2 linked regions of the Drosophila melanogaster genome follow. Changing the gene in region 2 together with the main gene of any one other region gives a genetic interaction. Each region holds a gene or a part of one and is shown on either strand. Other genes may lie near its edges. The genes, in order: Chc and Nak.

Region 1 (3,931 bases), on a different chromosome or scaffold from region 2:
TTGATCTCTTTCCTTACTATTTGATATTCAAGTTAAAGTTTAAGTGAGGTTTTAAGTTTTCTAGACACGTTGTAATAACAAGCGGACCTGTTTACTAAGCCTACGTTACTTTAAGCTAAAATCTGATCCTCTTCGGACATTCTGATCGACTGGACCATCGGTTTCAGTTACCTTTGAGCGCAATGACCTTGCTAGCTGGATTCATGATAGCCGAATCCGCTGAGATGGGACGCCGCGTGGGATTGGTGGCATCGTTCATGTCAATGATGACCACTTGGGCGGTATCATTCACCTTCTCCCGCACGCAAATAAACTTATCCGATTCCATCGTGAGCGTGCTGAATGAAAATGAATTGGCGTTGATCCCGACATTTGTGAGCTGTCCGTAGTGGAGATTGAAAATGTGTGTTAATTGATAAATCGAAAATCATAGCATACGCACTCATTACACAATATAATCATTCATTATTAATTATTGAACTGGCCTGGATTGACCCACATTTACTATTAAATATTCGCAATACTTTGCTTAAGTTTAGATGTAAATTTGTATTATAACTAGTTCTATAGAAAATACACTGTATACAGACTTGAATAGAAGGTATAGCAAAGTAGAAACTCGACCTAAGCCCCCATATTTTCTGTTTACACGTTGAATTAGAGCTGGAAACCGTGAAATTTTCATAAGAAAAGTGGGGAGCTTATGAATCGGATATAATCGTAGGTAATCGTGGCATATTGGTGGGTTGTACGTATGTGGATATGTAATGATGGTAGATCCAAAATATTTAATATTACTCACCTGTAAATGCTCCTGAAAGCGGATGGGCAGTGGTTGCGTCATCTTTACTACTACAGTGAGGTCTAGTTATTGACAGACCTTTACAACGTAAATGTATCTTTGCGAAAACAATGCCAATACGATGTTTTCTTGAATTGCACACTTGGTAACAGTTTGTATTTGATTTGTTTCGAGGATTTATTGTTGTTTAATTGCGTTCGAGTTTAGTCGGTTTCTGGTTTAAGATTCGGTTTCCATTGGAACGTTTAGCTGCACGAAAGACAAAAGATTTTGGAAAAACATGTAGTTATGGACAGCACTGATGCGGCAAGAATGAGGAAAAATCAAATTGTGGGCGTTATTTTATTGTTGATAGAAAGTGACAGCGTCACCGGATGAAAAAATGAAAGATAAAGGCCTATATGTATGTACATATGGATGTAAACGCCCTTAAAATAAAACACCGAGTCTCTTATTGTATCCCCAATCGCTTTTGTGCAAGAAAATATATAGACGAAATTATTTCCTACGATTAATCCTTTGTATCGGTATTTTTATTCGTTTTCTTGCGTTTTTGCACTTGCCGTTACGACGGGAAAATTACCAGCACTTTATTTTATTTGAGGTGAGCGAGGGAGAGAGAGAGAGAGTGAGAGCGAATCAAGAGAGAGAATTTGAAAAGAAAAGAGGCAGCATTATCATCAAAAATCGCTGCTCACCACAGAAAAAGTCAGCCATGTTGAGTTGCGCTTTGAACAATTAGTCACTGACTAATACATGTACAGCAATTTTGCTCTTGTTTTCCCTCCCCCTGTGTGTGCATGAAAATCGAAAATCGCATTTAAATATCACTGTTTTGCGCCTGATAACAATGGGACAATGCCATGAAATTGACGAAATTCGGTGTATATACATCAAATTGAGTAGCGGTAATTCCCAATTCACACGCACACAGCAGCACTCGCGCACACACACTCACAGATGAGCGCGCACACTTGCAGTGCCGCAATATGCCACATAAACAAGAACATAATTAGATAAACGGTAAATTAATCGGATGCTTTTACATCAAATAAACAAAATTTGTATGTATATATTGCATTTGCAAGCGAACACACACACGCACTTTAGCACTTTACATTTTTTCCCAATGAATCGAAAGATATTTGGAGCCCGTATGCTTACTGCAATTTAACAAAAATGTACGCTAAGTACTATCATACTCGAAATAATCACGTCGGTTTGTTGCTAGATGACGGGCACACACACTGAAGACAAACTGAGCTCTTATCAAGCTCTAACAAATGTAGTTTATTTTTCTTTTGTTTGACTAAATACTGACTGCAAGACAAGGTAGAGGTGTGAAAGTTATACAATTAATGCCGATATATACGGCAAATATGCAATTGCGTGGAGTGAAAAAACATCGATACCACATTCAACATTCGAATCGATATTTGTATCGCACGATCCTACTGTTACACGTATTTATTCATAATATTCGAATGTAATTATTATTTAGGTAAATGTAGTATAACTTTGTAAGGAACAACAAATTTATTTTATTTTATCAGCTTCATTTATATTTTGCCGATAACAAGTTTTTAGATCATAATACATACGTAAGGTTAACAGGTGTTATCGAGTGATCCAATTGGATATATTCTCTAATTGGAAATCTATTTTTTATAGCAATTTAATTTGGAATGTGAAGTTATTATACCCGTTACTCGTAGAGTAACAGAACACACCCCAGAAAAAATTATTAAATTTCACGTTTGCACTCACACTATCTGCGTAACGGGTATCTGATAGTCGGAGAACGGGACTAAAGCATTCTCTTTCGTTAATTTTTAAAAATATATATACATTAATTATCTTGCTTAAGTGCTGGATAATAAGTAGGCGATAATTTTAACATTGTTCCTATGCAATACTATTTTTAAGTAGGCGATGATTTTAACTTTGTTCTTTTTCAATACTATTTTTGACATTTACACTCAATGTGCTACAGAAACAACAACTTTAGGATTTGCTCCAAACATTTTTTTTATTGTTTTTATCATTTGGAAAACCGAGTCCCAACAATAAAATCTTAATCTATGAGGTAAGCAGCAGTATCCGATTTTGAAGCACCTTTTGGCGATAGAATCTATACCGTCTTGACTTGACTGATCAAGGGCATGACAAAGGATGGGGCAAGGAGCTAGACGAATATTGCGGGCGTCCCGCTCGCAGATTTGCGGTAGTCTTCGAACGGGCGAAGGGTCCAGCACCTCAGCAAGTTGTCGAAAAGGTACACATAATCATTTTTGTCCTGCAGGCACAAAAATTTGGAAATTCTTTTATTAAAAGCAAAAGCGATGTCACTCTCTACCATGAGCAATCCCTTGAGGACTTCTGAAAGTTTTTCATTATTGCAGTGGTAAAAAACCCAGCTGGATTGTCCGAATTTGACCAGTGCTCGATGCTTTGGCCGTTCGCAGTCTGCCGCATTCCTGCTAGGCGTCCCACCCGCCCAGGATTCCTCAACCCAGGGCCATTGGGAGAGGATCCGTCGCTAACAGAATAAGGTAAACTGATAAACTCCTCGTTTCCCAGGGAAATTCTTTTATTAATATAAGTTTCTTCTACAGTATATACAGACGTTCTTACGACTCGGTTTTGGGATCTAGGAAGCCCAGGATAAATGGCAGAATGCTGCGGACTCTGAGCTTTGTCAATCATATTCATTTTGATAACATAAAGATACCACTAAATTCTGTTTTTATTTTTCTTCGTTTTCATGTTTACCTAGATTATTTTAATATATATTTACATTGAAACGTTGTTGTCATTCAAATAATATACCCTTCTCTGTGGGAGCCAATAATAATGCAAGTTCCAATTTTTTATACCCGTTACTCGTAAGGGTAAGATTCGTTGAAACTGGCAGAAGGAAGCGTTTCCGACCATATAATCTATATATATATATATATTCTTGATCAGGAGAAATAGCCGAGTCGATCTGGTCATGTCCGTCTGTCCGTATGAACGTCGAGAACTATAAAAGCTAGAAGGTTGAGAGTCCCAAGTTGAGATCCATGTTGCCACGCCCACTCTAACGCCATAATACAGCCCCGCCAAGATTATCGCCGTGAGGTAACGATG
Region 2 (3,931 bases):
CATTTTTGCTCGACTTTGTGAAATTATGGCGTCAAATGTTAATCAATGCTGAAGGTTGCAACAGCAACAAATCAACATTGGCAAAAAGTACAGCAACAACATCCAGTAATAATAGTATGAAAAGCAACAATAACAATGCACAATTGTAGCGATGCGAGAAAACGCGAGAAGGCAATTCGAAACGCAAACGAGGGTAGAAAATACGTCTGAAGGGGCGTCAACTGCAAGGTGGGCAGTAAGCGGTTAAGGGTGGGGGCTGAGGGGTTAAGGCGGGAAAGCTTCATTCGTTAACCGTTTGTCGCTTAGTCATTTGTAATTGTTGTTGGCTGCTCAAAAATCGAATCAAAGAAAGCAGGTAAATATTGAAGGTGATTAAGCACAGTGTTACTTTGGAAGTATCCAGCATATCGAGCAGTTTAAACTTGGCTATACGCGCATTTTATTCATTGAGCATCTGCAAAAGACTCTATTTATTTTTTCTCTTTCTTAAATGAAATACCAATAGTTACGTTACTGGATTAAATGAATTAATAAATAATATATAATTTAGTTTATAATTTGTTATACTAATTCAATAACTTTAACCAAATAACCGTGTTCGTCAAACGCTCCGCCTTTTTAATTACAGGGTATGCCCGACAACAGCTGACTAATTGCCAGCGGCGCCAGCGCAGCGCAAAACAAAATTACGAATCGAGTCCGCTTGCCAAAAGTATAAAAAGTAAAAAACACTACGTAATGGCTAAAGGAAAGGTGGCGAATGGCTGGCCAGGCGGTGGGTGAGCAATCGTTAGATGATCAAATGTTGGGCGGAGGGTACTGGTGCCAGGCCAACAAGGAGGCACTTGCACTGCAGGATGATGTGGAGTGGAGCACTCCGCATTTCAAGGACAAGGACACAGCACAGGCGATTTCCTTAGGGGCGAACTTTGCCATTTAGCTCGGCGAAAGGTGAAAAACGGAAGACTGTCGGAGACAGTCGGCTGATGAGTGTTGGTCTTGCCGCTTCATTGGCTAAATTAACATAATTGATTCAATTGATTTGTGGCCATGTGTAGTGGCTACGGGAATTCAATGGGTATTCCATGGAAAAACCAACCAGAACCGTAACTGTGTTTGTACAGTCGGGTTTCTCTAACGCGGACACCCATTTGTCACAATAGAAATGCTGGCATTTCTGGTTTTGGCAAAAATAAACTCTTTAAAGACTGACATAAATTTGGACGAAATATCTGCACGCCATTAGAGAGCCGAGTTATGGACATAAATATGTAGTTCTATGCCAAGGGCAAAATTGCAGTTCAATTAGTTGGAATTTAGGTTACAAACCAGTATTTAGTATTCATAATTAATGAAATAATTTAAAATGTTTTACAGTTTTATTAAAAGATAATATATCAAAGTCAGATTTTAGCTGTTTTGAGTTTAACATCTTATACAGAAATTATTGGGAGTAATTTATTTGGATTTAATCGGAAATGCGACAAGTGGTGTCCCCAATTATGGAGGATACGCAGCTGATTTTTATGCTCTCTAGCGCTTTGAGTACGCCCCACATTTGGGAGTTCTCGCGCTGAAGGGGTTTATCTAATCTGTGACGAGGGGCGAGACCGAAAAGCGGACGGCAGGCTACTGCCCACCTGTAAATCAGGCAGGTGATAAGCATAATCGCGGGCGACGTGTTGTAGGTAGGGGAATGGGAGCACATATATAAGAGTGTATATATAGTCGTCTACCTTCTGCCAGGACATCCTCCACGGTGACCGTGACGCGTCCCACTGTGAAGACCTTGCCCACGAAGCTGTTCTTCTCGTTCGAGGACGACGAGCTGCTGCTGTTGGGCGGATTCTCCAGTCGAGAGTTCTCATTGCGCTCGAACTTAGACAGGATTTTCTTCATTTTCCCCCGATTTTCACTAGAAAATGTTTACTGCCCCAGCAGCACAACACACACACACACACTCGCGAGCACACACGCACACTAGCTAACACGGTCTTAATTGCCTGCGCGTAGGTGTTTTTGGCAATTTTTAATTTTGCGAGGGCGGCTGACGGTGGGCGGGGCGTCGGTGCCGCTGGCCAATTAATCCACTTTCGAGTCGTATCGGCTAGCTGAATAAAGCTATTCTGCGCACTTTGTGTTTTTGCATGCACACACACAATGCAGTGGAAAAAGAAAGTTGTTCGATTTTCCTGCTGCTCTCGAGTTGTTGGGCCAGTGTGACCAGGGCGCTTTGCTGCAGTCAGATGCGCAACCCGCGGCTGGTGCAGCCGCCTATCGATATATAGATAAGTTGGTTGCAATCTCGAAATTCTGAAAACAAGGAAATCCCCGTTTACAAAATAGGTTTTATGATAACAATTTTTTGTAATTTGATCCAATTTAAAAAGATAATATGGTTCTACTTTCAATAAAACATATAGCTACAGTTGCATTAAACTATCGCGCAGTTTTAATTAGCTATGCTGCCAACATCGTGTTTCCCTTATCAATATGTTATCGATTGTGCTGGTGCAATTGTAAACAAGCATCTCTAGCAAATGGTCGCTAAATTCGCAAAATTGTAGTTTGCTGGGATAACAATGATAAATACGGCCAAGTACTTTGCTCTTCTAGAGAGTTTAAGGTTTAGTAAAGCTCTAGGTAAATTGGTTAACATCATATAATAATTGTAGTATCCCTAATACTAATATTTCGACAGCAAATACGGCGAATAACTCAGGGACTGCCGAAGCCTTGGAAATCAACCTGCGAATTTTGGAAAAATATGCTAAACTCGAGATTGGTCAGCAATTGCATGAGCTGTGCCTGGAATATCAGTTAACAGACGATCACGAATCTAGTATTGATCCCGATTCGGATCGTACTATATGCTATATAATAAGATTGCAACATGTGCTACATTCGATCATGAGGAACATTAATTTCCACAGCGACGCCAAGGAGGATCTTATTTCGGTAGCGCACCTGAAATTGTGTATCCAGGCTTCCCAAGAATTATCATATTACTCGCTTCGATGCCAGCTACATGAGGATTTCTACAAGTCGCCCATCTTTTGTGAGGCTCAGGGGAAAATCAAAGCTAACTTTTCATTGATGCTTCTAAGCATTCAGTTCTTTATTAATCTACTGCATATTCGACAATACCACATAGCCAACTCGATGGAGCTGGTGCAAAGGGATCTACTGGCGGCCATTGTGAGTCTACGTGTGCAGCAAGACTCTCCACTGCTGGATAAGGCTATAGCCTACCTCTGGCAATATGAATCCAAAGCAGATTTCTTTCGCAACATCTTGCTTTTTAAAGCTACGACTCTCTGCCCAACTCTGGCCCAATTATTGCACCGTCAACTCTTAGGAAAGCTTCACTTACCCCAAGGATTTGCTAGTCTTGTTGAGGCCCTGCATCAAAATCCCAATGTGAATTCTTCCAGAAATGCGGAAATTGTGGCTAGTATTGTGGCCAGAAAAGGATTTTCTCAGTTAGCGCAAGAGAAGATGGTTCTCCAGGTGCTAGAATATTGTAAGTTCTATCTGCAGAATGCGGACAAAATGTGCGCCGGTGTCCTATCGCTCAGAAGACTTTACGATTTAAGTGATACAAATCAAAAGCTGATAAAAGAAATATTATTCAAACACTGGGAAACGCTTTGTAACCCAGAAGACATTATTAATGGCCTTATCTTAATGGATCACCAGGAACTGTGCAATCGCATTCTCTTATGGCAGCATCTCTTTTGTTCTTCAACCGTAGCTTGCTTACCCAGTAATCTACTCGTTCCCTACCTTCCTTTGCTGCTCCAACTCTACGATGGCCTTCCAATGGAATTACCGGCGTCATCGCAGATTTCTGCCATTATTTTGCGTTGTCTGGACAACAGAGAAATGAAAAACGAATTACCTGCGATACTCCAGAAGCTGTTTAAATGGG

What was found.
Region 1: of Nak (region 2) and Chc, changing one enhances a phenotype caused by changing the other (phenotypic enhancement), as found in Drosophila melanogaster (one study listed by BioGRID).

What each region holds. Positions count from the first base shown.
Region 1 is NC_004354.4:15,833,321-15,837,251, forward strand, and holds the start of Chc (clathrin heavy chain), read right to left. Parts: upstream 2,171-3,931; 5' UTR 1,967-2,170; exon of another isoform or gene 1,908-1,966; intron 1,593-1,907; exon of another isoform or gene 1,501-1,592; intron 1,435-1,500; exon of another isoform or gene 1,312-1,434; intron 1,052-1,311; 5' UTR 845-1,051; coding exon 803-844; intron 380-802; coding exon 172-379; intron 1-171. UniProt on the Drosophila melanogaster protein: Clathrin is the major protein of the polyhedral coat of coated pits and vesicles.
Region 2 is NT_033779.5:18,966,517-18,970,447, forward strand, and holds the start of Nak (Numb-associated kinase), read right to left. Parts: upstream 2,229-3,931; 5' UTR 1,900-2,228; coding exon 1,737-1,899; intron 1-1,736. Other genes in the region: Tango6 (transport and golgi organization 6), read left to right, coding at 2,583-2,643, 2,702-3,931.